Linked DNA regions of Xenopus tropicalis. The protein of the gene in region 1 binds, or shares a complex with, the protein of each later gene. Links are inferred from orthologs where the notes say so. Each region holds a gene or a part of one and is shown on either strand. Other genes may lie near its edges.

The links.
Region 2: the proteins of etfb (region 1) and etfa are in contact, whole or in part, in a crystal structure (PDB 2A1U), measured with the Homo sapiens proteins. The link is inferred for Xenopus tropicalis from reciprocal best matches to the Homo sapiens genes ETFB and ETFA. Residues at the interface, in NP_001976.1 of Homo sapiens: Ile14, Tyr16, Val18, Ile20, Val22, Val29, Thr31, Phe41, Leu102, Arg106, Lys124, Gln125, Ile127, Asp128, Asp129, Asp130, Cys131, Asn132, Gln133, Gln136, Met137, Ala139, Gly140, Phe141, Asp143, Trp144, Pro145, Gln146, Thr148, Phe149; in NP_000117.1 of Homo sapiens: Glu27, Leu88, Pro89, Glu90, Ser113, Ala114, Phe115, Lys117, Asn118, Pro121, Arg122, Ala124, Ala125, Lys126, Glu128, Val129, Ala130, Pro131, Ile132, Ser133, Arg146, Thr147, Ile148, Tyr149, Ala150, Gly151, Asn152, Ala153, Leu154, Cys155.
Region 3: the proteins of etfb (region 1) and acadm are in contact, whole or in part, in a crystal structure (PDB 2A1T), measured with the Homo sapiens proteins. The link is inferred for Xenopus tropicalis from reciprocal best matches to the Homo sapiens genes ETFB and ACADM. Residues at the interface, in NP_001976.1 of Homo sapiens: Glu73, Arg76, Thr77, Tyr192, Ala193, Thr194, Leu195, Pro196, Ile198, Met199, Lys202; in NP_000007.1 of Homo sapiens: Glu43, Gln44, Lys46, Glu47, Phe48, Thr51, Lys54, Phe55, Glu58, Glu59, Arg80, Glu83, Leu84, Gly85, Leu86, Leu98, Leu100, Ile108.

The regions. Positions count from the first base shown.
Region 1 is NC_030683.2:122,442,578-122,452,753, forward strand, and holds the start of etfb (electron transfer flavoprotein subunit beta), read right to left. Parts: upstream 4,838-10,176; 5' UTR 4,831-4,837; coding exon 4,777-4,830; intron 1-4,776. Other genes in the region: protein NKG7, read right to left, coding at 8,388-8,446, 8,980-9,108, 9,482-9,628. UniProt on the Homo sapiens protein: Heterodimeric electron transfer flavoprotein that accepts electrons from several mitochondrial dehydrogenases, including acyl-CoA dehydrogenases, glutaryl-CoA and sarcosine dehydrogenase.
Region 2 is NC_030679.2:90,218,630-90,228,854, forward strand, and holds the start of etfa (electron transfer flavoprotein subunit alpha, mitochondrial), read right to left. Parts: upstream 4,872-10,225; 5' UTR 4,866-4,871; coding exon 4,830-4,865; intron 4,555-4,829; coding exon 4,405-4,554; intron 1,915-4,404; coding exon 1,833-1,914; intron 1-1,832. UniProt on the Homo sapiens protein: Heterodimeric electron transfer flavoprotein that accepts electrons from several mitochondrial dehydrogenases, including acyl-CoA dehydrogenases, glutaryl-CoA and sarcosine dehydrogenase.
Region 3 is NC_030680.2:81,042,367-81,052,493, reverse strand, and holds the start of acadm (medium-chain specific acyl-CoA dehydrogenase, mitochondrial), read left to right. Parts: upstream 1-4,058; 5' UTR 4,059-4,148; coding exon 4,149-4,172; intron 4,173-5,482; coding exon 5,483-5,582; intron 5,583-7,062; coding exon 7,063-7,160; intron 7,161-7,252; coding exon 7,253-7,322; intron 7,323-7,506; coding exon 7,507-7,607; intron 7,608-7,947; coding exon 7,948-8,028; intron 8,029-9,007; coding exon 9,008-9,138; intron 9,139-9,228; coding exon 9,229-9,337; intron 9,338-10,127. UniProt on the Homo sapiens protein: Medium-chain specific acyl-CoA dehydrogenase is one of the acyl-CoA dehydrogenases that catalyze the first step of mitochondrial fatty acid beta-oxidation, an aerobic process breaking down fatty acids into acetyl-CoA and allowing the production of energy from fats.

The DNA.
Region 1 (10,176 bases):
CAATAACATAGTAAGTTAGGTTGAAAAAAGACCTTTATCCATCAAGTTCAACCATAATGCCTATATATAACCTGCCTAACTGCTAGTTGATCTGGAAGAAGGCAAAAAACCCCATCTGCCAAGATGGCAATCGGACCAGTCCCTGGATCAACTTGAGCTATCTCCCATAACCCTGTATTATTTGAATAATAATAATTGCTCTATAGAGAGAAACTCATACAAATACTCTAATCAAACAGTGACCTCTACTGGCCACCTTTTTTAAAAATAATGTTAAGATAAAATGTGGCATTAAAGTTAAATTAACACAAAGATGGATTCTCTAGCAAGAAGTCTCTCTGCGAACTTAGCAGCTCCTTCCTCTGTTGTCTTCTTGGCTGGGTGCTGGAGTGACCACACAGCTTCCCTACAAAGCTAAATATATAATAAAAATACTTTATCTTCACCTTTTCAAATATACTGATATAGTTGATAAGAATAGGGGTGATGTGTCCTGTTTAATACAGTATGCAGGCATTAACTGTGCACTAGTGATGTGCGGGTCAGGCTCATACCCACAGGACTGGCGGGTTGGGGGTGACCTTAGCACAACATTTGCAGGTCGCGGGTGGGTTCGGGTTGAGCCCTTCTGCCTGCTCACCCGCAACCTTACACTGTTGGCTTTCGGCTCTCTGATTTATAGGTACCCCACCCCATTCATTTTGTGACATCACGGGTGGGTGGGTCGGCCGCAGCTCTATAAACAGAGGGTACAAGCCGGGTTGGATAGGGTTCAGGCTGGGAGCGGGTGGGTTAGGGTCGGTGTGAGTTGAGGGGACCGACCCATGGATGTTGGTCTAATGATGAGCCACTTACTTCATACAACACTAAACATGTTTTTTGGAATTGTGTTTCCCTTTTCAAAATACCGGCTCTGCTGCCAACCCCTAGTTGTAGTACTGAAGCCTGCCACCCAGTGCCCCACACAGCCTGCCACCCAGTGCCCCACACAGCCCAGCTTAGCCTACCCGATACCTACCCAGTGCCACACGCAGCCCGGCTTAGCCTGCCTGATACCTACCCAGTGCCACACGCAGCCCGGCTTAGCCTGCCTGATACCTACCCAGTGCCACACGCAGCCCGGCTTAGCCTGCCTGATACCTACCCAGTGCCACACGCAGCCCGGCTTAGCCTGCCTGATACCTACCCAGTGCCACACGCAGCCCGGCTTAGCCTGCCTGATACCTACCCAGTGCCACACCCAGCCCGGCTTAGCCTGCCTGATACCTACCCAGTGCCACAAACAGCCCAGTTTAGCCTGCCTGATACCTACCCAGTGCCACACCCAGCCCGGCTTAGCCTGCCTGATACCTACCCAGTGCCACAAACAGCCCAGTTAAGCCTGCCTGATACCTACCCAGTGCCACACCCAGCCCAGCTTAGCCTGCCTGATACCTACCCAGTGCCACACGCAGCCCGGCTTAGCCTGCCTGATACCTACCCAGTGCCACACGCAGCCCGGCTTAGCCTGCCTGACACCTACCCAGTGCCACACGCAGCCCGGCTTAGCCTGCCTGATACCTACCCAGTGCCACACGCAGCCCGGCTTAGCCTGCCTGATACCTACCCAGTGCCACACGCAGCCCGGCTTAGCCTGCCTGATACCTACCCAGTGCCACACGCAGCCCGGCTTAGCCTGCCTGATACCTACCCAGTGCCACACGCAGCCCGGCTTAGCCTGCCTGATACCTTCCCAGTGCCACACCCAGCCCGCCCCCCAGTGCCACACACTCCTTAATTGGCTTAGCCTGCCCGATACCAAACCAGTGTCATATACACTCAGTACAACTGTCTATGAAGATTTTCATTCATCCAGGTCATGGTATATCTAGTATAAATAAATTTGAAGCAACTGGACTTGTACAACTCTACTGCGCAGATAATTAGATCACCTGAAACACCTCCTGACATTGCAGATGATGCAGAAAGCTTACAGCCGCATTTACCCACACTCACTGCCAACATGAACAGACAGACTCACAATAAACCCTGGTATTGTAAGTGCCTGAGGGCTAAACAGGCTCACCGGGCCCAAGGCTTTAGCCAGGACCCACAGACTGCCAGCCTGGGCCTGACTGCCATATGAAGCAGCTATTCAGAGCCACTTACAGTTTGCAAATCAGAACCACTCAGCTATCTACTAGTGCCATATACTGTCTGTGCCACAGGCAGCAACTCAGTGCCATATACTGTCTGTGCCACAGGCGGCCACTCAGTGTCATATACTGTCTGTGCCACAGGCAGCCACTCGGTGCCATATACTGTCTGTGCCACAGGCGGCCACTCAGTGCCATATACTGTCTGTGCCACAGGCAGCCACTCGGTGCCATATACTGTCTGTGCCACAGGCAGCCACTCGGTGCCATATACTGTCTGTGCCACAGGCAGCCACTCGGTGCCATATACTGTCTGTGCCACAGGCAGCCACTCGGTGTCATATACTGTCTGTGCCACAGGCAGCCACTCGGTGTCATATACTGTCTGTGCCACAGGCAGCCACTCGGTGTCATATACTGTCTGTGCCACAGGCAGCCACTCAGTGTCATATACTGTCTGTGCCACAGGCAGCCACTCAGTGTCATATACTGTCTGTGCCACAGGCAGCCACTCAGTGTCATATACTGTCTGTGCCACAGGCAGCCACTCAGTGTCATATACTGTCTGTGCCACAGGCAGCCACTCAGTGTCATATACTGTCTGTGCCACAGGCAGCCACTCAGTGCCATATACTGTCTGTGCCACAGGCAGCCACTCAGTGCCATATACTGTCTGTGCCACAGGCAGCCACTCAGTGCCATATACTGTCTGTGCCACAGGCAGCCACTCAGTGTCATATACTGTCTGTGCCACAGGCAGCCACTCAGTGCCATATACTGTCTGTGCCACAGGCAGCCACTCAGTGCCATATACTGTCTGTGCCACAGGCAGCCACTCAGTGTCATATACTGTCTGTGCCACAGGCAGCCACTCAGTGTCATATACTGTCTGTGCCACAGGCAGCCACTCAGTGTCATATACTGTCTGTGCCACAGGCAGCCACTCAGTGTCATATACTGTCTGTGCCACAGGCAGCCACTCAGTGTCATATACTGTCTGTGCCACAGGCAGCCACTCAGTGTCATATACTGTCTGTGCCACAGGCAGCCACTCAGTGTCATATACTGTCTGTGCCACAGGCAGCCACTCAGTGTCATATACTGTCTGTGCCACAGGCAGCCACTCAGTGTCATATACTGTCTGTGCCACAGGCAGCCACTCAGTGTCATATACCGTCTGTGCCACAGGCAGCCACTCAGTGCCATATACCGTCTGTGCCACAGGCAGCCACTCAGTGTCATATACCGTCTGTGCCACAGGCAGCCACTCAGTGCCATATACCGTCTGTGCCACAGGCAGCCACTCAGTGCCATATACCGTCTGTGCCACAGGCAGCCACTCAGTGCCATATACCGTCTGTGCCACAGGCAGCCACTCAGTGTCATATACCGTCTGTGCCACAGGCAGCCACTCAGTGTCATATACCGTCTGTGCCACAGGCAGCCACTCAGTGCCATATACCGTCTGTGCCACAGGCAGCAACTCAGTGTCATATACTGTCTGTGCCACAGGCAGCCACTCAGTGTCATATACTGTCTGTGCCACAGGCAGCCACTCAGTGCCATATACTGTCTGTGCCACAGGCAGCCACTCAGTGTCATATACTGTCTGTGCCACAGGCAGCCACTCAGTGTCATATACTGTCTGTGCCACAGGCAGCCACTCAGTGTCATATACTGTCTGTGCCACAGGCAGCCACTCAGTGTCATATACTGTCTGTGCCACAGGCAGCCACTCAGTGTCATATACTGTCTGTGCCACAGGCAGCCACTCAGTGTCATATACTGTCTGTGCCACAGGCAGCCACTCAGTGTCATATACTGTCTGTGCCACAGGCAGCCACTCAGTGCCATATACTGTCTGTGCCACAGGCAGCAACTCAGTGTCATATACTGTCTGTGCCACAGGCAGCCACTCAGTGTCATATACTGTCTGTGCCACAGGCAGCCACTCAGTGTCATATACTGTCTGTGCCACAGGCAGCAACTCAGTGTCATATACTGTCTGTGCCACAGGCAGCCACTCAGTGTCATATACTGTCTGTGCCACAGGCAGCCACTCAGTGTCATATACTGTCTGTGCCACAGGCAGCCACTCAGTGTCATATACTGTCTGTGCCACAGGCAGCAACTCAGTGTCATATACTGTCTGTGCCACAGGCAGCCACTCAGTGTCATATACTGTCTGTGCCACAGGCAGCCACTCAGTGTCATATACTGTCTGTGCCACAGGCAGCAACTCAGTGTCATATACTGTCTGTGCCACAGGCAGCAACTCAGTGTCATATACTGTCTGTGCCACAGGCAGCCACTCAGTGCCATATACTGTCTGTGCCCCACACAATGGCAGTGCCACAGGCAGCCACTCAGTGCCACACAATCATTACCCAGGTATTGCCATATAAAGCCACAGACTGCCTGCAGCCCAGTAACCCACATTAATATATATTTAGTGCCACACAGGCAGCTACTCAATCCCACAGACAGAGACTCCTTGTTACACAATGGCAGTGTCAAAGGTAAGTACTTAGTGCCACACAATCTCCCAATTCCATGACACAGAGACACAATGGGCGTTACACAGTGACACCGGTTACACCCCCGACCCCAGGCCGCCAGGGCACCCCGGTAACGTTCTCACCTTCACGGCATAGTCTATGACCCTCTTGACACCAACTAAAGCTCGCAGCGCCATGTTTCAGAAGGACTCGGAGAGTGAGGCATGAAAACATCCAATCAAGACTCACCGACTCCGTCGTCAGCCAATCAGTGTGCACCAAGGCATACCCAATCGCAATCAAAATCCAACTAATTACCGGTATAAGTTGTATCCAATTGGCTAGTTCGCTTTCAGAGCGTAACACGTGTTTAAAACTCTTAGCCAATAAGGTGTGTGGGCGTACCTTCAAGGGCACAGGCGTAGGAATCGTCATTAGAGACGGATAACGTGGCGGCCATTTTTTATTTGGGCTTGCTTTTCCAAAGGTCTTTTAAGGACAAAATAGCGCTAAAGTTACGTTTTTTTTAACTAGTTGTCTTCTTGGTTCTGCCCAACGTTTACTGTTGGCCCCAGCTGTCGCGGGATTTTTGTTATGTGTTGAAACTGATACTTTGTCCCTGACCTGACCAATGACCCATTAAAATACATTTATAAGTAGATATTAGTTTATACCACAAACATAAAGTAACTTTTGGTGGGTCGAGTAACAAAAGTTGCAAAAATTTTTCTTGCCTTAGTAACCCATAGCAACCAATCATCCATTGCCTGAAAGCAAATGTCTGTTGTTGTGGGTTACTTGAGTGGGGACTATTATACCCCTCCATATTAATGGGCCTAATAATAAGAAAAGAAGAGCGATACAGAGATTAGTTTAGGGATTCCAAAGGATATCCCATACCTCCCAACTGTCCCGATTTTCGGGGGACAGTCTCTCTTTTGACAGCTCAACCCCTAGTCCCGGATTCTTACTGAAAAGTCCCTCATTTCCCTTTGATCTCCTGCACTGAAGCTAAAAAAGATACAAACTTAATTAAGGCTAATGCCAGACGAGGCGTAGGGCGGATATTTTTGGCAAGTTTGAAAGTCTCGCATTTTTATGCGTATTTACACTATATGTGCCTGCACCTGAGCGTATCTCATTCATTCGGGTGCAGGCACATGTAGGAGGCGTAGGGCGGAATTTTCGGCAAGCGTTTTTCCGCTTGCCAAAAATAACCGCCCTACGCCTTGTCTGACATTAGCCTAAAAGTAGCTTTTGGCAGAGAGGCCAGAAATCTTAACGAGCGTCACCTGCAGTTAGATACATTGTTTCTCACATTTAATTAAATAAATAGCTTTTGGCAGAGAGCCCAGAAATCTTAACGAGCGTCACCTGCAGTTAGGCTGATGCCACGCGTGGCATTTTTACACTGCGTATTTTCTAATTCTCTCGGCGGCTGAAAGGCTTAGGGCTGATATTTTCAGCAAGCGGAAAAACGCTTGGCGAAAATTCAGCCCTACGCCTGCTACTTGTGCCTGCACCCGAATGAATGAGATACGCTCGGGTGCAGGCACATGTAGCCGATATATGCATGAAAACGCGTGAGAATGTCTCACATTTTCATGCATATATCGGCTACATGTGCCTGCACCCGATCGTATTCCATTCATTCGGGTGCAGGCACAAGTAGCAGGCGTAGGGCTGAATTTTCGCCAAGCATTTTTCTGCTTGCCGAAAATATCAGCCCTACGCCATGTGTGGCATCAGCCTTAATTAAATAAGTAGCTTTTGGCAGGGAGCCCAGAAAGTTAACAAGCCACACCTGCACTGAGATACAACTGTAACTAATAAGCTAAACAGGTCTCTTGGGGGAATTGAGACTCGCAGCTTAAAGGGCAATTTCACCTTTTTCAGCATAACTGTAATAACACATAAAACAGGACCCCAAAACCCCCAGAAATGTGCTCAAACTTTAAATAACCTGCCAAATGTAGTCAAATGGGAGTGGTATTTAGGGGATGTGGTCGCAAAAACAGGCATGGTCAAAAAAATACACTGCACTGCACGCAGCATTCGTTTTTGTCCCTCTTTCTAGTTTCAAAATGTTGGGAGGTATGATATCTATTTATTGGCACCTTATATGTGGCAAGGGGTCATCTCTGCATTGCAGCAAAGGGGAAATTCACCTGTGAAACGTATTTGGTGATTCTAAATAGTTTTACTTATAGTTCTATGTAGCTGTGGATAGGTTTGAATCATTATCTCCATTGTGACGTGGGGTTGGTTGACATCTCTGCTGAAATGCATTATGACTGTGAGAGACATTGGAAGCAGACAGACGTCCCAATGAGCTCAGCCTGCTCTGGCTGCAGAAATAAAGCCGGTCAGTAAGGAGCCAGTATAAATCTCTCTTCCCTGATAACTGCAGAACACGACGTCCACAGGGGAGCCCCAAATTTTCACCAACTAAAGGCCAGGCTAATGCCATCTGTAAATTCACTCCAGGCAAAAGGCTACATCAATATGATGGGGCCCATATGTCCCTCTCTGGGTGTCAGGTATAAGGCTCTGCTCAGTTTAGCCCTAATGGAACTGGCTGCAAACCTACATGTACCTCAACTTCTCTTTGCCTTAACCTTCCATATGTTTTCTAATTACTATTATAGGACACCAACATATTCCACAGAGCTGCACAATAACTGTTCAATAAATATCCTTAATTGAAAGGTATTGGTTATATAGAATTGTGCTTCCCCTTTGCTGTGTTTATATGTGTATATATATATGTTACTTTGACAAAGGCTGATGTAACAGCCGAAACGTTAGTTCACCTTTTTGCATTAAAATTATTGTTTCTTCATAAGACCTGAGTGCTTTTTTTTATTTTTTCCTGTGCGCTTTCCTTTGAACTCTGCACCCAGGCATTTTTTGTTTTCTGTTCCGTGAGTGCCGGCTGTTCCTGTATTTGTTATATATATATAAAGTAAATATATTTATTTTTTGGCTTGGTACAGCAGTCTCCGCATTAATTCTGGGCTTCGTCCAGGGCTGGAGTTAGTTTAGAGCTGCCTTTGGCAATGCAGGAAACCAGGGGGCCCTTCCCTCCCTTCTCTAGATGTCAATTCTGGGCATTGCAGACATTATATATATATAATATATATGGTGCTCGAAAAGTTGGATTTTTTCATTAAATACATTTTTTGTTTTCCAACAAAGTCCCTGTGTGTGCGGCTCACTGTCTTGCTATATATATATACAGTATATAATTCACAAGAGTCATGAATATTCTGTATTTGATATCCTTATAAATGGCGCTTAGTGATTTCATCAGTTATAATCGGTGCTTAGTGGTGTAATTTCCGTCACATGACTCACTGGAACTTGTGGATTATAATAAATAATGTATGTCCTGCTGAAAAATATTTAGGTATTATGTCACCTCGGTGTTCCATGACCGGTATAAAAGCACTCTACCGTCGGCCTTGTGCTTTTATATGGTAATGGATCTCTTCTGTGATTTATAATATCCCTATACTTTACAATAGAGGGTACGTTATTCACTATATAATGTGAGGCAAATAATTTTACTCATGAACAAATAGCAACTACAGAGATGCAAAATATTTTATTGAAACTTGCCAAAGTGCAATAAGAGCTTTGTTCACTAATACAAACTGTACTATATTAGCCCTTTCATTAGCCTTGGCATTATCAAGCAAACAGGGAATGGGATTGGCTGAGGATCCTGATGTTCTGAGGCAGGCGCTCTTGTTCAGACAGCTTCGTATCCAGGCGTTGGTGAGGCTTGGTGGGCCACAATGTTACATGCCCCTGCAGGAAAACAGATGGAGATGGAAAACGAAATACCCCCAGAATGAATACGTAACCGACAGATAGTTTATATTATGTTAAGTGACCTATTAAAGAATTTTGCCAAACTGGAATATAAATATCAGTATATATTTCCCTTTTACATCCGTTCCCTTGAGCCGCCATTTTGTGATTGGCTGTGTGTTCCCTCAGAGATCACATGACCAGAAATAATGCAGCTCTAACTGTAACAGGAAGTAGTGTGGGAGTAAAATGCCAATCTCATACCTCTTCATACCTTACAACTTGTGTGTAGCACCAATACCCTTATTCAGGCTAATATATTGTAGGAGAAAATATGGTTGTCTCCAAATATCAAGCTAATTCCTCCTCCCCCCTCCCCTGGGCCCGGGGTCAGATAGTGTGCTTTCGGTGGCTTTTGTCTGGGGGTGATACAATCCAGACCAGCAATCTCACCATAATCTTCACAGCTAAACCAGCCACAAGTTTATTGCAGTTTGCTGCTAGTGAAGGGAAAGTCAAGAGAAACTAACCTGAAATGAACAGCATAAAAACTGCAACCCAACAGAGGTAGAAAGACCACTGGTAGTTAAGGGATCCATTATTGACAAAACTGACAGTTTCTCCGGTGTATACAGACATTCCAATGAGAAGGAAGATACCTGCAATGCAAGAGAGATTATTCTCAGCAGCCACAGTGAGGGACTTGTATCTCAAACTGCATGGAGACGGGGGGGGGGGGGGGGGGTATCTCTCTGTACACAATACAAGTCAACTTAGGGGGCTTCTCCTTCAGGATTTCAGGCACTTATCGGCCATCTCCATTCATAAGGATGTTACACTATAGAAATATGAGTAATAGACCTTGTTGGTTTCTTGTAAAGGGATTATAACACAACAGGAGGGATATGGGTGCAAGGGAAGACAGCTGGAGAACAAGTGATTATACACAGATACCCATTACAAATCCCCCTAAATAATTCTTACAAATGAATAAAACACATAACCCTGTGCGCAGGGAGGTCAGAACAGTACCTGCCAAAATCTTCAACATGGCTGCCAGAAGGGACGCAGTGATCTTCCCCACAGATAAGTTATTGAACGACAAGCAGGCAGACACCATGCCAAGCAGGAGGAGGGCCGTGGAGAAGATAACAAGCCCACGAGTGGCACCAAGAAACCCTGCGGATGAAAGACAAACATTCATTTTCACATGAACGTGACGGGTACTGGATGTAGAAATACATGAAAACAGAAACATAATTCAAAGATACTTGAAATAGTTCATTGCACGAAAGTGCAACTATACGGAATGCAAGGGTGCATTTTGGCACAAATACCTTTTTAATATGTTATAGAATGGCTAATTCTAAGCAATTTTCCAACTGGTCTTCATTTTTTTTCTTTAATAGTTTTCGTATTATTTGCCGTCTTCTTCTGACTCTTTGCAGCTTTCAAATGGGGGTCACTGACCCCGGCAGCCCAAAAAAAACATTGCTCTGTGAGGCTACAGTTTTATTGTTACTTTTTATTACTTATCTTTCTATTTAGCCTCTCTACTATTCCTACATCAGTCACTCTCTCAAACCACTCCCTGGTTACTAAGGTAAATTGGACCCTAGCAACCAGTTAACTGCTAAAATTCCAAACTGGAGAGCTGCGGAACAAAAAGTAACATAATGAAAAAACTACCAATATTAAACAATAAAGACCAATTGCAAATCTCAGAA
Region 2 (10,225 bases), on another chromosome or scaffold:
GGCAGCTATAGTCGGCCCGTGTATGGGGACCTTTAAGCCCTAGGGAAGGGTTTGTGTACCTAAAGGTCATGGGGTAGTGCAAATTGTTTCTGCCCATATTTTCATAAGGATGAAGGAAAAACATGGCTCTTGCTCTTTAAACTCCATCTGGTGCTGGTGATGTATGTAGGTTCCTGGAGCAAAGGCCCCAGGATGAAGCTTAGTGCCCTTAGGGAAGTGAAATCCCTTAGTGAAGTCAGGAATAGGACCCTGTGAACAAGGGGAGAGTGGATAGCAAATCCTATAGTAGCACACTGTTGAGATAGTGGTGTGGTGAGATTGAAGTAAAACTGAAGAGAGCACTCCCCATGTGTAGGGACTACAGTGGACAGGGACTGTGTGTGTAATGCCTTACGCAGCATGAGATACTTGGAGACAATAACTGCAATGTATATGGGCAAGCCCAAAGAGAACTCAGGGTGTATGCCAGTTTACCCAAAATATTGAATGTATTGAAAAGTATTTGCTGCTTTCCACTATTAAATCATTTAAATAATTCAAGTACTACTAGCTTCCTTTATTGTTTGTGTGTTGAGAGTTAAAGTTTAGCCACTTCTGGTCCCTTCCTCTACCTACTGCGATGTATTTTGCCTGAAAGCAGCTGGATTTAGGCAATACAGGTATGGGATTCCTTATCCAGAAAGCTCTGAATTACAGAAAACCCGTCTCCCATAGACTCCATTTTAATCACATGATTCAGAATTTTAAAATGATTTGTTTTCTCTGTAGTAATAAAACAGTACCTTGTAATTGATCCCGACTAAGATATAAATAATCCTTATTGGATACAAAACAATCCTGTTGGGTTTAATTAATGTTTTATTGATTTTTTAGTAGACTTAAGGTATGGAGATCCAAGTTACAGAAAGACCCCTTATCCAGAATACCCTTGGTCCCGAGCATTCTGGATAATGGGTCTATACCTGTACTGCCAAGAAAGGGGTACAAAGTTTTAAGTTTCAACCTAAAAGACAATCTGCAAGGTGCTTGTATGTTTCCCTTGTGTTGAGGATTTTCTGTATGTACTGTGTTTTCCATTAGCACTTCAAAAACATAAAAGGGTTAATTAGCTCTTAACATAAGGACCCTAGTCCAGTTTTTGAATTTGCCTGAAACCTTAGTTTGTAAGCTCCACTAGGGCTTAAATTATGAACATTCTCTGTAGAGTGCTGTGTTTAAAGAATAATAATAAATTAAATCATTGAGAATGAGCATAGTTTATGGCCCAACCCACAGCTCTCCAACAAACTTAATCCGGTTAAGATAGACTGAGCTTAATCAACACTGCTAAACCCCAATGTTGAGCATGAATAATACAACAAAGCAACCAAATATTAGAAGTTTGTATTTACTGATTGGCAACAGATTACATGGCTCTCTACACAAAAAGGTATTGATTTTTAGCAATGGATCTAACCACACCATGGCAATCGCTGTCCCACTGCGCTAAGGGACTGTTGTTTTGCAAAGTTAAATATTCTACCATCATTTGTAACCTTTAACTGTTCCTCCATTTGTTCCAATTATTTGTTTTTCTTTGAGTACAGGCAGCATACTGAGTTAGTTAGGAATGGTGAAGGAAAGTTTGTTAGGAATGGTTAAAGAAAACAAAAGGTATTTATAATTAGTAACTAGCTAATTTTTCATTAGGAAAAGGAAAATAGATGGTAAAATAAATGTAATTGTAGAGAGTCAAGAGTTTGGCCACACATACAGGAAAAAAAAAAGTTGACAGTCACAGTCAGTAAAAATCCCTGGGACCCTTACCTGGTAAAAATCCCTGGGACCCTTACCTGGTAAAAATCCCTTGTATGATTCATGCTGTGCTACGAACAGTTTTGACACTCCCTGTACCTTTGCCAGCTCCTCTGCTACCTGAGACCATAAACATAATCAGGACATGATCTAAGTACAGACAAAAATCTAGAACCCATGTCTACAAATTGTTCCTTTATTTGCAATATTAATTAAGCTTATGCGAGACGTGACTACTGCTCAAAAATAAAGTAAGTAGAATTTTCAAGAAACAGTTCATGTGTCTGCCCAAAAGCATAATCGCAAGCTATTTTAGACAACTTGAATTAACACATCCTAGCCAACATTAGATGTAGCAACATCAAGGTGGTGACATCAAATTAAATACATGCCTTGACATTATGATTATGTGTAAAGTAACAAGATAGAATGATCAAACAACTTAGGTCTACTAATAATCACAATCACTGGAGAATGATTAGCTACATTTACATCCTTGCATCCAATCTGGCTTGCATTTTTTGGAGCAGGATGGACATAGCCAATGTAGAAAAATGAAAACATCAAAACTTCCTAGCTTTCACAAAAGAGATTAAAGAGGGATCCTAGAGCAAAGAAACCCCTAAATGTAAATAAAAAACAAGGAAGAGAGAAATCCATAACAAGGAGGTGTAATATCACTGGGAGATTCTCTAGTAGAAAGGGGGAAACACAGTAAGGTGAACAACAAGCAGAGAGGGGAAACACAACTGGAAAAAAATCCTGGTGGAGACGTTGGGCCCAACAGAAACATGACAAACCAGGGAATGGCTTCAGGAATCAGAGAGCAGAAAAACAGCAGGACGAACCCGCCATATAAGGACAGAAAACACAAGGAGACCCACTAGTGTTGGGAGACAACACATAAACACATCATTCTTTGCTGAGTGGGGAGAGAGAGCAGGGAGGCCCTCAAGATAGAAAGGCTATAAAGTAGTTAAACCTATTCATTGAAAGGGGGAGAAACAGCAAAGAGACCCCCATTGGGGCTAAAGGGCAGCAAAGCAGGGATGCCCCAGGGTGGCGAAAATTAAGACACATGATGTAAGCTCACTAATAAAGAGGAAAGACGTAAGCACACTATTGAAAAGTGAGACACAGGACACAAGCAAACTATTGGAGAGGCGAGACGCAGGGCACAAGCACACTATTGGAGAGGCGAGACGCAGGGCACAAGCACACTGCTGGAGAGGAGAGACACAGGGCACAAGCACACTACTGGAGAGGAGAGACGAAGGGCACAAGCACATTACTGGAGAGGAGAGACACAGGGTACAAGCACACTACTGGAGAGGAGAGACACAGGGCACAAGCACACTACTGGAGAGGAGAGACACAGGGCACAAGCACACTACTGGAGAGGAGAGACACAGGGCACAAGCACACTACTGGAGAGGAGAGTCACAGGGCACAAGCACACTCCTGGAGAGGCGAGACACTGGGCACAAGCACACTACTGGAGAGGAGAGACACAGGGCACAAGCACACTCCTGGAGAGGCGAGACACAGGGCACAAGCACACTACTGGAGAGGAGAGACACAGGGCAAAAGCACACTACTGGAGAGGAGAGACACAGGGCACAAGCACACTACTGGAGAGGAGAGACACTGGGCACAAGCACACTCCTGGAGAGGCGAGACACTGGGCACAAGCACACTACTGGAGAGGAGAGACACTGGGCACAAGCACACTACTGGAGAGACACAGGGCACAAGCACACTCCTGGAGAGGCGAGACACTGGGCACAAGCACACTACTGGAGAGGAGAGACACAGGGCACAAGCACACTACTGGAGAGGAGGGACACAAGGCACAAGCACACTACTGGAGAGGCGAGACACAGGGCACAAGCACACTACTGGAGAGGAGAGACACAGGGCACAAGCACACTCCTGGAGAGGCGAGACACAGGGCACAAGCACACTACTGGAGAGGGGAGACACAGGGCACAAGCACACTCCTGGAGAGGCGAGACACAGGGCACAAGCACACTACTGGAGAGGAGAGACACTGGGCACAAGCACACTACTGGAGAGGAGAGACACAGGGCACAAGCACACTCCTGGAGAGGCGAGACACAGGGCACAAGCACACTACTGGAGAGGGGAGACACAGGGCACAAGCACACTACTGGAGAGGGGAGACACAGGGCACAAGCACACTACTGGAGAGGCGAGACACTGGGCACAAGCACACTGCTGGAGAGAAGAGACACTGGGCACAAGCACACTGCTGGAGAGGGGAGACACTGGGCACAAGCACACTACTGGAGAGAAGAGACACTGGGCACAAGCACACTGCTGGAGAGGGGAGACACTGGGCACAAGCACACTAACACAGAGGTGAGACAGAGGACACTAACACACTAATGGAAAGGTGAGAGAAAGTAGGAAGATCCATAGCCAGAGGGAAGATAAAGCAGAGAGAGCCATAAAGGTGAAGCATAGTAGAGAGGCTGTATAGTAGAAAAGAAAGCATAGCAGAATGGGCAATTAAGATTCTATCTGGTATTTCCCTTGTACATGTGACATCCCAGCAGTGGCTGAGAATAAACAAATGACTGAACTTACCTTACTGCAGTTGGTCCCTGCCACCAAACAGGATACATCTGCCCCAAGTCGCTTGGCTGCAGTTATGGCGCTGAGAGTGACCGGTGTCACCTGTTGGGTGTCATGCTCTGCAATAACCAGGGCACTAAGGAACCTGCGCAGAGATGGAGTCTGCAGGGAAAAGTAGAAGAGTACAGCTTTATTGTGCTGCTAAAGAGAAGTGCCCTACCGCATCATGTTAGGACTCTACTACACTTATTACGGAGTGCTCACGTATGAGTAAAGAACTTTTATCGTGACAGTGAGTGTAAATATATTATATAATGCATCCATATCTATAGCAATTATTGTTATGTCATTTACTCCCCCCTCCTATCACCACCCCGTAACTGCGGCAAGCCAACACACCCTGCTACTTCAGCTAGAGGAAACCGAAAACAACTCACCCCCTTCTGCCTCCCGGTACTCAGTGCTCGGTACATGCTGAACTCTTGGACAGACACAAAGGTGACCCGGCCTCTGACACCTTCAGCAAGCGACTCAGGCAGCAGGCGGCGCGGAATAATGACGTCAAATACTTAGTTACCTTGTGAGCGAGATAAAGGCGCAGGCTGGAAGTATTTCCAACTTACATATTACAGTTCTAAGTAGGGGAACGTTCTAAGCTTTCCAGTATAGAGTCATAACATATTTGTAATTGTCGCTGAAAGCATTAGCTGTCTGTTTCACTGATATTTTCTGCACTGCTGGTTCTGACGATATTAGTGTAGTAGTCAGCTGAAAAACATGGCTTACTTTAAATATGTCTTTTGACGGAGCGTGTAATTCCTAGTGCTCCTATCATTGTCTCTTATACCCTTTTATTAACACAGGTCTGTTAAGTAATAGCAGGGATTTTACCTTATGGATGCACCGAGTGCAGGATTGGAGTTGAGAATTCCATCACATATTGCAAGTTTAATATACTGCTGACTCCTTAGTACAGGTATGGGACCTGTTATGCCGAATGCTCGGGCCTTGGGATTTTCCGGATAAGGGCTACTTCTGTAATTTAGGCCTCAATAACTTAAGTCTGTTAAAAATCATTTAAATATTGAATAAACCCAATAGGCTTGATTTGCCTCCAATAAGGATTAATTACATCTTCGTTGGGATCAAGTACAAGGTACTGTTTTATTATTTAAAAAAAAAAGGAAATCGTTTTTAAAAATTAGAATTACTTACTTATAATGGAGTATATGGGAGACGGGCTTTCCGTAATTCGGGACTTTCTGGATAACAGGTTTTCGGATAAGGGATCCCATACCTGTATTTAGGCCAGGGAACTTTTTTTTACTCTTGAGGAACACTCAAATGTAAAACGTATTGGTGAGCCAAGCTGGTCGGGTGCCTAGGCAACCCAGTCAGCCACCTTGCTCCCCTCCATCCCCACCCATGTGCATATGCACATGCACGTGTCCGCCGTGATGTTGTGGACAGAGAGGGTAGCACGGTGAAAAGGAAAGCCAGGGGTAAGCGATGCTGGACTAGGGGTAGCCAGAAGAGGTACCTGCCTAACGCCCTCCCTAGGCAGGTGCCTCTTTTACCTACCCCTAATTCCGGCCCTGCACACAAGCACAAAACATGTTTTTTGGGGATGCCAAATAAAAACTGTGATTGGCTATTTGGTAGCTTCATGTGGGCTGCTAGCCTGCTGGAGGCTCTGCTTGTAATAAAACAGTGTCTTTGTGCTTCCAAACCTGGTCCCCAAGCCAAAAATATAAAAATTGGCACCTTATTTGAGGCCACTGGGAGCAACATTAAAGGGGGTGGTGAGCAACACTGGTTGGGGATTACTGATCTAGGGTAACACTGAAACGTTTTGAAGTGCAAATACAAGTGGTTTATTAGAGGATATATCAAATCAAAGAGGCACTCTTAACATGCTATATTGAAAACAACAAATACTACACCTGTTTATTAGTGATGCCTTTATTGGACACAAAACCACTCAGATTTAGAATGCATGTATTGAATTTATTTGAGAAAGAAAATACAGGACAATATGCAGGTTATAAATACAGTGGATGCCACTTATAATAGCTTGCTCACATGCTACCGTGCTTTCTGATATTATGTTAACAACACACACCAAATTTATACACACCTAGAAAACATGATTAACCCCTTCAGAATGTGCAATTGTCAGTGTTATCCAGCAATGTCATACTGTTTCCTGCCCACTATTCCCCCAAAGCAGTGTGCTTTTAACAAGGATGAAATAACCAGGAAGGTTTATGCTGACATTGTTCTACTAGATACGATCTCACAAGTAACAGGTATGTTAAAATAACCATCACTTGTAGGTAAGGGCCAACTTCTAATGGATGTTTAGATTGGAAATTCAGTCAAACAATTACTTATTGGTGCATGTGGAATATTACTCACCAACAGTGTAGTCGAGCTCTTTACACATCTTTTGAGAAATCTAAGGTGCAAGTAACTGAATAATTAAAAATTGGTTATCCATAATGGTTATGCACAGTAGAAAAGGGTAATGGGGAGGGGGTACAGAATAACAATATAATCTAGATGTTAGGTGGAGTAGTAAAAGAAATGTTATAATAAATGGTAGCCAAATTATGTATACTTCTTTAGGTGCAAAAGTAGTCATGCAGGGTATGTAGCAAAATCTGATCTTGGGAAATCAGGCATGCGTCCACTATGTTGGTTATTAAATGAAATACAAATGGCTAATGATAAAGATACAGCTAGTAGTCTTATTTGCAGTTCCTTAAAATGACCTTTCTTTCTTAACAGGAGAAAATAATATCTCTTAGCAAGTAGCAGATGTCTCTTCATGCACCCCATTTATACTCTCAACTAACATATAGAGAGTGGTCATACAATCAACATATACCTTGAAAGTTCCTACAACAGAATAAGTCAGACACTCTGTAGGAATTGTGGAAATGTACAGTGCAGCTACAGATATATGTTCATTGTGATTGGGGTGCAAAGGCACGATAACCCCCACCACCCTGTTGAACAAGTAAAAGAATAATAAAACACTAGATGCACATTGTATCTGTGAAAAAGTGTCCAACCAAAAGGCAACCTAATATGTGTAGCTAGCAGCAGTTTGGGGTGAGAATATAATCTTTTCTTTAGAATATGAGAACTCTGAGTGCAGATGGGGTCATGGATTAAATCCATTATGAGGTGAACAGATGGAAGCTCATCTTGTTACCAATAGCGTCAGATATCTAACAATCAGTATCTGTACACACCCTACAAATCTCAGTCAGGAAATCAAAACTATGGATTATTCCAGATAACCCAGTATTTATTTTTGTATTTTATGCAAATAAGTAATGCTGCACTTTCTTTAAAATCATTTTTTTATCACCATGGGTTGGAAAAATAATGTAGATATAATAATGTTAATGATATACTCAGTGCAGCACAAATAAGGTTTGATTTCGAAAACAAATCAAGAATTCATAAATAGAAAAATTAATAATGTAGTATAAAATAATAGGCATTTTGATTTATTTTATGGCAAAGTTTAATAAGTTACTGCAAGGCATGGCACATAAGAGATTAAACAATGGGGCCACAAGTTCTTTGAATCTTAAACAGTTTAAGCAATATTGAATACCTCCCTATGAATCAGGGCCGCCATCAGAAATCACGGGGCCCCTCACAACAAAATTTTCTGGGCCCCACCCTCCCACTGGCCCTCCCATCAATACAAGGGATACACAAGCACTGGTAGCGAGGGCCCCCTAAAACATTGGTAGCCAGGGCCCCCCTAAAACATTTGTGGCCAAGGGTTACATTTTGCATTAGTGCCAGGGCAGGGACCCACTAAAACATTGCTAGCCAGCCCAGGGCCCCCTAAAACATTGTGGTCCTCCCCCAGTGTTCCCATACAATGGCCCGCTCCCTGCTGCTTCTTGACGCTCCCCCCCCCCAGAATCCTCCTGCTTCTTCCAGGGCCCCCTAAGCATCCTTCAGCTCCCCCCACCCAACATCCTGCTGCTTCTTCCAAGCTCCCCCCCAAGCATCCTCCACCTTCCCCCAGGGCCCCCCCATGCATCCTCCACCTTCCCCCAGGGCCCCCCCAAGCATCCTCTACCTTTCCCCAGGGCCCACCCAAGCATCCTCCACCTTCCCCCAGGGCCCACCCAAGCATCCTCCACCTTCCTCCAGGGTCCCCCCAAGCATCCTCCACCTTCCCCCAGGGTCCCCCCAAGCATCCTCCACCTTCCCCCATGGCCCCCCCAAGCATCCTCCACCTTCCCCCAGGGTCCCCCCAAGCATCCTCCACCTTCCCCAGAGCCCCCCCAAGTATCCTCCAGTCCTCTACTGCCGCCGCCGCCAGCATCCTTCTGCTTCCTCCGGCTCCTCACCTGTGTCAACTCCAGCTTCATTTGTATCTTCCACTACGTCCCGAGCTCCCTGCTACATGTGTGCTTTTATAGGGTTGCGCCCCGTGCGTGTTATGTCAGTGAGCACAGGGCGCAACTTTATAAAAGCGCACATGTAGCGGGGAGCTTGGGACATAACAGCGGACGCCGGCAATGGAAGTAACAGGGCCCGGAGTTGAGTGAAGGGGGCCCGAGGTAAAAGAAAAACTCTAGCACGGCCAGGCCCCCTTTAAACGCCCGGGCCCGGGACAACTGTCCCCCCTGTGCCCCCCTGATGGCGGCCCTGCTATGAATCACTGTATTTTCTAACCTAGAGCAACCCAAGAATAAATACCAGGGCTGCATTTTTTATGTACACACTTAAGGATCTGTGCCAAGGGTGAATTTCCCAGCAATATTTTTATGTGCACGTGCCCCTGAATTGGGTAAGGGGGGATTGCTTGGATATAAATCCTGTGTAGCCTGATACTTCACTAAGGGCCACAAGTCATTGTTCTCTAATTAAGCAACCTGACTTCCAGTGCTCCATGAAAAGTCAGACCAGTATATTTGGGCTACTCTAGCTTCAAAAATACAGCGATTCTGGTGAAATAAAGCTGCATTCTTTGGACATAAGTTCAAATTTTCGAATCGGGTTTTCAGTATCAAGAAAGCCACAATATAGAATAAAAAGGACAGCATGCAGCCAGTTTACAAGGCTGGGAAATGTTGTTTAATTGCAGAATTAAAAATGGCAGTAAGATAAGTAAAACTGGCCAACATGGGCAGATTTTATCGCCACCCTGCAAATGAACTGATCACCTAACCGTTGTTTTAACAAATTGTTGTGTTGGCTACAAGATCATGTATATATTAACCAATGGCTGTCTGTTCCCCTGTTTACTTTAGCATGTAGCCCAACCCTTCAAAATAAAGCCATGCACAGCGAGCATTTATTAAACAAGGATTATCTGATCATCTCATCCACTGACTGATATCATCGTTTCACAACTTAAGTTTTTAAACTGTGTGATTGACTGTTGGGACAATGTCGCAATCATAATTTATTTTATTAGATTGTCCTAAATCATTTGTTTAACACGACAAAATCTGACCTTGTATGACCACCTTAAAGGAGAAGGAAAGCTATAATCACTTGCGGATGCCAAAATGTTAGGACCCCCAGTGATTGTAATTGCTTATCTTATACCTCTGGCTGGTGCTCCTGTTAGGAGAAAACTGCACCAGCCCCGGGTAGCTGCGAGAAAGCGATTCTCTTCCTTCTTCTGTCTTCACGCCGCTTGCACCTGCTTTTTAGCTCGTGAGCAACATTTAAATATAAAAAATGTTGGGGAGCAACACAAGCATGAAAAAAGTTCCTGAAAAGGGCTGTGGTTGGTTATTTGGTAGCTCAATATGGACTGGCAGACTACAGGAGGCTCTGGCATTAT
Region 3 (10,127 bases), on another chromosome or scaffold:
GAAAAAACTAGTTTGGAAGCAGGGCTAGAACTAAGAGTAGGAAGAAGAGGCACCTGCCTAGGGTGCAATGCTGGGGGGGCACCAGGCAGGTACCTCTCCTGCCTACCCCTGGTCTGTGTTCCCTTTGCCCCAAAGGGGGTGAAAATCCAGCTAGAAGGGCTGCACTGACTGCAATTAAATGTAAATGCAATCAGTGCAGACTTACAACATGCATTTAAGTTGTATACTTATGTTAAGTAAAAAAGAATAAACATTTTGGGGGGAATTCACAAAGGTGGTGATACTGAGACAAAATAAAAGGGGAGGTATAACCTATATCTCCACTGTGAATTTGTATTTTAAACAGACAGTTTTCAGATTTCAGATTTTGATGATATTTTACCAACATTTTTTATGAATTTGTCTTAGTAAATCTGTTGGTGTGCCATCAAACCCACATTTACATGAACCTTGGAATAAGGATTTTGCATTTTATTTGCCAGTCATTTTACTTGAGGGGCATATCCTGTAGGGGAATTTTAGTTTGCCTTGGAAAACTATCAATGTTTTTCTGCACAAACTGGGCTTTCTAATTTTTTTTACCAAAAAATAAAGAAATTGCAATTTTGCATAATATAGGGATATATATCACAAAAAAATTTTTTATTTTATATTTGTAAATACAACTGATTTAGAAATCTGCATGTTTGGTTAATGTGCCAATACCAAATGTATATGTTAATAAATGTTTTTTACATATGTTTTTTAATGTATATGTTAATAAATGTGTTTTGGAGATAGGAGGTATGTGTCACAAACTCAGTACTAACAAAATTTCAAAATACCAGCACAAAAATCAGAATACTGTACTTCTGGTTCTACAGTCAAAAATCCAGTAGGTTCACCCCAGGAAACTATATATTTTGGAAAGTACAAAAATGGGTAAATGTCTTACTATTCCAAACTACAAAACAACAAAACTTTGCTTCATTTGGGGTCTCAAAATGCCAGCATGCATTTCAATTAGGATCGTGCACACAGTGTCAGACTGGTGTATTTGGGGGCTTATGGGAAGAGCTGAATCAAGGGCACACCCCCTGCAGTTCTCCGCCACCACACTACATCTCTACCCCCCCCAGTGATTACCAGTCAATACCATCCGGCTCACCCACCAACATGCCCAGTGAAAAGAGGCCCAATAAGACCAGGGCCCACCAGGTTTTTTTCCTAGTCCAACCTTGAATTCACAGTACCCCAATATCTCAGTGTGGGTGACAGTGTAAATATGCTGCTTGCTGATCAACAAGATGGCCGCTAGGAACAGAAGGGACACCACTATAGCATCTCTGTAGTTCTGGACATACTATGGGGGCACAGATAAGTTGGGGAAGGTGTCAGTGAGGTGATTAAAGAGGGGTCATTCCTGCTAAAACTAAAAATTTGCCTGGGAGGCTTTACTTATCATTTAAATAAAGATATATACAATAGATCCACTCAAAAAGCTATTTTTGCCTCATTCATTAAGCTAAAACTAACATAATAATGCAAATGTAAGGTAAAATCTTTTTATATACAAGACTATACTATTTTTTATTTAATCAGTGTTTTACTTGTTTGCAATGACAATAACAATAGGCTGCTAATCCCCATTAATATGTTAATGATACCCCAAATGGGGCCCCTACCAGAGGTGAGAAATGAAGACTGTGTGAAACAAAGCAAAATAGAAGAGCTTGGACTCTGACAGAGTTACACTGAACTTTACTCCATTTTGAAAATGTTAAGAAAAAGTGTCATTAAATGTCATTTAAATGTCATTCAAAAGTCATTTAAAAGTCAAATTCACAAAAGTGTCTGTAAACTGTCTTTCTTTCACCAAAAACTGAAAAGTGGCGGTTGAGTCGGAATTTAGGTGGATATCTGTTTGTGAATATGAAGAAAGTTTTTTACACCAGTTTTATCACCACTTTTACTACAAAAAAAGAGCTATCTCCACTTTTGGGAATTCCCCCATTTGCTTTTATTATTTGTATCTGGTCTTTTTAATTTAAGGCCCAGGGGCTGCAAGTCAGACCTGGATTTGTGGCAATGCCACAAAGGACCGGGCCTTGGGTTTCACAAATTGAGGGACGGCATACCGCTCAGCCGCACCTGAAGTTTTGTTACATTCAGAATACTGAGGTCTAGGTGTGCGTCCCCTGTGCTCCAGGTGTAAGAGGAAAGGACTTGAAGGTCCTCAGGGCAGGGGGGGGGGAACAAATCTGGAATCCTTTTTACAAGATAGCACATGTTTGATTTATCTTCTTAATGACCTGTCCCTCCTAACACTTTGCTGGTTTCCCTGGATGTAATCAGTTTTTATATGCTATCATCCCACACAACATTGGTATTGCCACTTTCAAACAGGCACTAATTAATGCAAAACACCAACACCCCCTATAGAGTTCTTGTGCACCTTGCCTAATCTAGCATTTTCCCATAATTATTTTTGGTTTGAGGAAAAGTTCTTCTTACACACAGCAGGCACAGCAAGGCTAACCTCTATATGTAGCAATATGAGAATTTTCACATATACTCGCATATACTACATCAATGACTGCTTTTTTTACTTTGGCAGGGTGACTTTGTTTGATCCTTTAATGACCTCCAGATACCAGTTAGATTCAAAATGGAGTTCAGTGACAGCTCCCTACACTTTGACTTATATATTTTTAAGAATGGTAATAGGTTAGATACTACACTTTTCCGTAAAGCTACAGAAAAACGGATCATAATACCATTCTCTATGCCCAATCCCATCATCCCAAATCCACCTCCAGGTATTGTATTCACAGTTTCTATGGGTGATCAGAAACAACTCGGATCCTTCAAGAGCCCCCAAACAGCTGTTAGAGACGGCTCAGAAAGAGGATCTCACCCGCAACAAACTGCAAACCAGATGGACAGAGTTTTCTACTTATTACAACAAGATTTGCTCTCTTTGAACCCTATCTCTAAACGCAAGGAACCAGCGCTGATTTTTGTAATACTTTTTCCAAAAGTTCTGCCGTCTGTAAGGCTTAAGTTGACAGATGGGAGATTATTCAGACTGATCTTTCACCTTGCCCTTCACCAAAATCACCAAACCATAGTTGAAAACCGGAGGGCCAACAATCTGGGTAATATTCTTATGGTTAAAGATTTCCCTCCTCCACCCAAGCATGGTTTCTGGCTTGGCACCCTGGCAAAACCTAGGTTTTATACATGTCCTGACTGTTTTACATGCAGTGGGGTGGTCCAGGGTTCTACTTTCAACTACCCCCATACTGAGACAAAATTTAAAATCAGACACAGACTGATGTACAAGTACTCATGTGGTATACCTGGTGCCATGTGCTTTAGTATATGTTGGCAAGGCTAGCCCAACATGTGAATGAATGAACAATCACAGGTGTCATATTAGGAGAGCTCTTGGTAGTGGACAAGCCCAACATTCACTGCCCTGATTATGCAACATGATTATTGCTCATGTTCCCCTTCCTACAAGGGGTGGTTATAGGCACCCAGTTCTTCTGAAATTGAAGATCTACTGGATACACAGACTGGGTACTGTTGCACCAGGGGATTTGAATAAACTTCTCTTTCTTCTTTGCTCTGCAAACCTTTTTCCTCATGGTGAGTTTAGAGGCCTGACCTCTAGTGGCTACTATGTTCCAGTTACTTTGTTTATTCTTAGGGTTATACAGACACACATTACCTGAGCTGTGAAAAATACAGTTTAAGTGCAGCTGCTATAACTTAGGCTGTGGTATTTGCAGCTCTACAAACTGCATTTATATGAGGCAAAACCTTTATATTATAAACTTAGGGGGTCAATGTAAAATCAATATACAAATGAAGCAACGTGATTCAGAATCAAGGTAACGCCACTCAATGCTTCAGTATATTAGTGCCATATAGTACGGTAGGAGTAGCTTCCTTGTAGTCACCCAGTCCCCATAAAACTCCTGCCCTCTATGTCTCCCTTGATGCCTCTCAGATCCAGCAGGGGGCAGCAGAGCTCAGCGCTAGCAGCGACTAAGGCAGAAAGGACATCCTTGCTTACGTTTCTATCGAGAGAAAATCGTGACGTGACGTACGTAACTAGCGACAGGGGCTGCGTCTACTTGCAAGAATCAGCAGAGGGCAACATGTCGGCTTTGAAAGTGCAGAGGGTAAGTGTTAGAAATAACTTGTAAATACCACCAGTTGTACCTTGCAGTTTATGCTTATGCGCTGGAGCCGAGCCAAAGAGTTAATGCGCACTCACTAATCGCTTCCTTATATTAAGATAGTAGCGCCGCTGCTGTTCTGTGCTATACCCCATTGCAGAGATTCCCAGCGACACCCGAACGACTAGTTATATACATATATATTGAGTCCATTCACAGCTTGTCTGTATGTCTGACACTGGCTCAGCGTTCAAGGTCAAAGGGGCCCTGTGAGGGCGGAGAGGTGTCGGGGCAGAGTCCAGCCCTGCTCGGATAGCTTTGTATTGCCTGGTCGGTTCGCCAGCCCTACTGGCACCGCAGCTCCCACTTGTACCTTTAGCGGGGCATTGCTGAGAGTTATAGTTCAAAGCGTCTGTAGAACTGGATATTTGTTGACATTTACAGGGGCTTAGCTGCATCCAGGTTTTTTTTTATATGTGACTTTAGGGGTCTTGTGCGCAGAGGCTGATATTTCCAGAACCTCAAGTGTCATTCTGTGGCTACTAAATGCCTTTAAGAAGGGCCTGGATGAGTTCTTGAACAATCAGAATATCCAAGGCTATTGGGATACTAATATCTACAGTTAGTACTAGTGGTTGTATTTATAGTTTATGTATGTGAGTGTATAGATTGGTAGGTGTGGGTTAGGTGTGCTGGGTTTACTTGGATGGGTTGAACTTGAAGGACACTGGTCTTTTTTCAACCCTATGTAACTATGTAACTTTTGCATAAAAACAGTGTGTACAGTAGTGTAGTTATCCCACATACTGCGGTGCAGTTGGCACACGATAAACCATCAACTAGGGCAAGAAGTTTCTTCTATGAGAAAACCCTATACTGACAATGGCCAGAGTAATACAGTATGAAGGAATGAATCTCTCTGTAGTAAAATCAGACTGACTAGCTTCAATAGCCCAGCCTACCTACATCTATACCTGTTCTTGTAGCTCAGTGAAATCGAGTATCTGTGCTGTGTATCATTTTAATATACTCATGTTCTGTCACAATTACACACACATTTCTCTCCAATGTAGTGATATTATCAGTGTACGATTATTGTGGCTGTAGGGCATTAATAGAAGATGGCAATTCTCCAGCAGCTCAGCTGATTAGGGGTCTGTGGTGTGTTATGCCTGCAGGATGGGGAGTATGGAATGTTCCCATCTCTGCGGTTGAACTACTAACCTTTTTATATCAAGGGAGAAAGGAGGTTTGTATCTGGTTTCATTTTATCTTTGATGTAAGCTTTAATCATGCAATGTTATTCTCCCCAGGTGCTTCAGCACATAACAAGGTGTGGGTGGAGAACTCACTCTACTGCTCCTAATGCTGCTGCCGCTGCCTCCTCCCAAGGATCTCTTGGCTTTAACTTCGGTAAGCACTTTAGGAGAACTAAATCTGATGTATCTTACAATGAGTTAGTTTGTGGTAGGAATGGAACCATCTAAACCTGAATTCTAAACATATTAAAAATCTTCACGTGATAAGTATTTTATCAAAAAGAAAAGGGAAACCTTCTTAATTAAATAAAATGTTAGCATTTTGGGGGGGAAACTTATTTACAATTGAAAACTACATCAATATGTAATTAAATAAATGCAAATAAATTCATTTTTTTTTCTACTTTTCATAGTTGCATAAAACAGTATATTCTCAGTGTGTATAAATAAATAAGTCAGGCTGCAGGGTTGTGATACAAGAAAGGAGAGGGATATTAGACCACTGGATCTTTGCAGCTGAGACTAAGCTTAAATCACAGCACTGGAGGAAAGCAGGCTGTCTAGTGTGCCAGGAATAGGCAAGCAGTAATTGTTAGATCATTGAGGGGTGCTGGTGCACCAAAAGATAATGTTTAAAAGCCTACATTAGCATCATTAACAAACCAAAACCACATCCGTGCCCGGGTACATAGAATTGGGGTTCTTTGTATATAGGAAATATTGATGCATGATAAGTTTTTAGTAATTACACAGCTGAGAAAAACAGATCTACTCTCATCTGCAGCTGTGTAGCTCCACAGAGAAGCACTGGGTCAGCCTGAGTGCAGCTACACAGCAGACTTTGGCCTGAAAAAATATGAAACTAGGTATTTTCAGGCTGAAATCTGCTCAGTGGATCTGCACACAGGCTAACCCAATCCCTGTCTATGGCGTTACACTGAGCTTGGGGATAAAAGTGGATCTGCGTTTCTATATTTTTCTTGAAAATGAGTCAGAAAGCAAGTGTGTTGTGAGTTTTTTCCCTTCAGCTTATCTCCCGTTTCTGCACTTCTTAATGTGTTTTTTTTTTCACAAACCCAGCTGAACCAAAGCTGTATCTTGGGTCTGTGAAACGGATAAGTAGGCCATCCCAGTCATGTCACTTACTGGCTGAAATGTGGCAGAAGTGGTACTGTTATCCCTGATGAAAACAATCACTGTTCTGCTTTATTGTTATTAGCAGTGGCTTGTATTGCAGCCCTGTGATTGTGCCCCAAACAGACAGTTTTGAGAGAGGTTTTTCTAAATGTATCCTACTGTTGCAGTCATGGCCTCCCTATTATATACTGGCCTTGTTCGTAGGCCCCTTCATTCACATGCTAAGCCATGTTAGTAAGCAAGGACACACTGTTAGCAGCTTTCTTGTTTCTCTCTGCATAGCCCTTAGTAATAACTGTCTGGGACACACCATATAATTGCAAATAAGTAATCATTATATTGGCATACTTCATTTAATACTAGGGTTTCAATAATATCCAGCTTTTACAATGCATCTTAAAGTGACAGTATATTTAAATTTGCAGTAATGTATATGCCTCCAAAAAATATTGCCTCCGTAGTAAATTTGTCTTATCTTCCCTTTTTCCTTGTAAAAGAACTCAGTGAACAGCAGAAAGAGTTCAAAGCCACTGCACGGAAATTTGCAAGGGAAGAAATCATGCCATTAGCCGCACACTATGATAAGACAGGGGAGGTAATTATTGATTTGTCTACACTATGTTACTAATTATCTAATGCTCCAGTTAATCAATTAACTAGTGAATGTCATTGTTTCTTCCATTTTAGTATCCTGTACCACTCATCAAAAGGGCATGGGAGCTTGGTCTCATGAATGGGCACATCCCTGAAAATTGTGGTAAGCATAGAGAATAATGTCAGTAATGGAATTTATATGCCCAAGCCACATTATAATGTGCCAGCCCCACTACTTGAGGAGAGCACTTCTGGTTGAGAAGTTTGGTGGGTGAAATAGTCCAGTGAATAAGGTGAAGCAACTGATGAGCATCACTGAAATACTGAGACCTTTCATTATATTACAGGTGGCCTGGCCCTTGGGATCTTTGATACCTGTCTAATTACAGAAGAAATAGCTTATGGGTGCACAGGAGTCCAGACAGCCATAGAAGCAAATTCTCTGGGAGTAAGTACTTAGAGCTCACATGGCTCTTCTTGTTTTTCCTGGTTTTATGTACAGATGTGGTAGACTTTCAGTGCATTAGGAAAATATACGTTAATTCATACAATTTTGCAACAACCAACAGCAACGAAATCCAGGATTTGGCCAAGATTGAGCCTTTTTTTTTTTTTTTTTTTACCAGGATTCAGGTTCGGTATTTGGCCATATCTATTATGAAGGATTCAGGGTTTGGCCGAATCCCAAAATAGTAGATTTGGTGCATCCCTAGTTAAGAAATGTAATATTTTTTTTCTTGCCTTTATATCTTTGATAAATACATAACTAGAAAGTCTTTGTTTTCCAGCAAATGCCAGTCATAATAGCAGGGAATGAAGCCCAGAAAAAGAAGTATTTAGGAAGGATGATGGAAGAACCGTTAATGTGTGTAAGTCATTGTTTTGCTACTTAAAGCTTAGGCCGCCAGCCGGTTTATGACTCTAATGGTATCAGACACAGGTGTTATAAATTGACTAAATATATCACACACAACCTACAGAAAATAAACAAAACAAAAGAAAATGTTTAGTCAGCAGGCAAGATTTCAATTAGCTTTATAGTAAATAAAGACAAAATCTCTCCATAAAGGGTTACTAATACCAAATAGTGAAAATAGATTATATCCGCTGGTCCAACATTTTCAAACAAATTACTTAACATTCATATTATAAAAATGGACTTTTGATCACTTAAAAATCCAGCAGAATCCTGCATTGAAATCTGTTTTTTTTTTTTATATTTAAATTTTAAATTTCACATGGGGCTAGCCATATTCTATATGTCCCAGGGTGGAACTGCCATGTAACTTGTGCTCTGATCACACTTTACTGCTGAGCTGCAAGTTGGAGTGATATCACTCCTCTCCCAGCAGCCGATCAGCAGAACAATGGGAAGGTAGCAAGATAGCAGCTCCCAGTAGAATCAGAATAGCACTCAATAGTAAGAAACTCAAGTCCCACTTAAGTGACATGGGAGTAGGAGAAAAAATAGGTTACCTGAAAGCAGAAATGTGTAGCGCTGGCTCCTTCTGAAAGCTTAGACTCCGGCACAATGAGATGGCTGCCTACACACCAATATTACAACTAAAAAAAATACATTTGTTGGTTCAATAATTAAATTTTAAATGGTAGAGCGAATTATTTGCTATGTAAACTGTGTAATTAGAAATTAAAAGTATACCATAAAAATCATGACAGTATCCATTTATCAAATGACTCTCTTGTTTTTTTTAAGAACAAATCCATTATTTTAGAATGTTGCCTATAGCTTCGAATATAGCTCCAAGTAGATGTCCATTAGTGATCAGACTGCAGTAACCCCCATTAATTCTAAATCACTGGTTAACTGCTGCCTTGTATTTTATTCAGGCTTACTGTGTGACTGAGCCAGGAGCTGGTTCTGATGTGGCAGGTCTGAAGACAAGAGCTGAGAAGAAGGGCAATGAGTATATCATAAATGGGCAGAAAATGTGGATTACAAATGGTGGAAAAGCTAACTGGTATAATTGTTATTCAAGATCTACAATTGGTGCAAAAAGGGGCAGCAGAATAATTTCTACTTAAATATTGCTTTATTTCCTGTTCTACAGGTATTTCCTTCTTGCACGCACTAATCCTGACCCCAAAGTTCCTGCTAGTAAAGCTTTCACAGGTTTTATTGTGGAAGCAGATAGTCCTGGAATACAGATTGGCAGAAAGGTGATGAATTCTCTTTTATCCTTTGCTTTACTATTAAGTAACTCCTTGTTGTGCATGATTTTGTTTTGGGTATAAACTCTTAACTCACTAAATTTTTGGACAGCTAACATTTACTTTCCTGTAGTTTACATAATAGCTAAGAAATGTGGAATTGGGGATATTTTGGTGATGAGGTTTGGACCCTTCAAAAGCTTTAACCTTAAATGATAAAATAAAGTAAAATAAAAAGCATTTCCTTAAAAATATAAAACATTTTCTGCCTCATTTACTTTAAAAATCATTTCTACGCACAGTTTGCTAGAAGGTACATGGTTGACTCTGAAGTCAGTTGGAAGAAGGTTCTATGGTGTGATGAAACTAAACTCCATCATAAACACACCATTCCCACTGTGGAGCATGGTGGAGGTAGCTGTTTGTAAGCTTCTCTGAAGCATTCCATGTAAGGCTTGTAAAGGTGGCGAAGCAAGTGGATCTTCTCCCAATATTCCCACCTACGGGTTGGCAATATTGGGCTAATTCAAATTAGAATGGCTGGTAGGGGCGCCTTTTGGTTTGGGTACCACAGCAATGAGCTGATGCAGTCCCCGATCCTACAGGAAAATTAAACCTGCCTGATCAAGAAAAAAATCCACTGTTGTTCAATTTTCTATGACAAAACATGAAAACGTCCAAGAGGCTGAATACTTTTTATAATAGCTCTATAAAAGTGTCAGGATAGTTATTTCAGGGGATTACATAGGCATTTTATAATGGCTGATACATCTGCTGCTGTTTGTGTCTTTCATTCAGT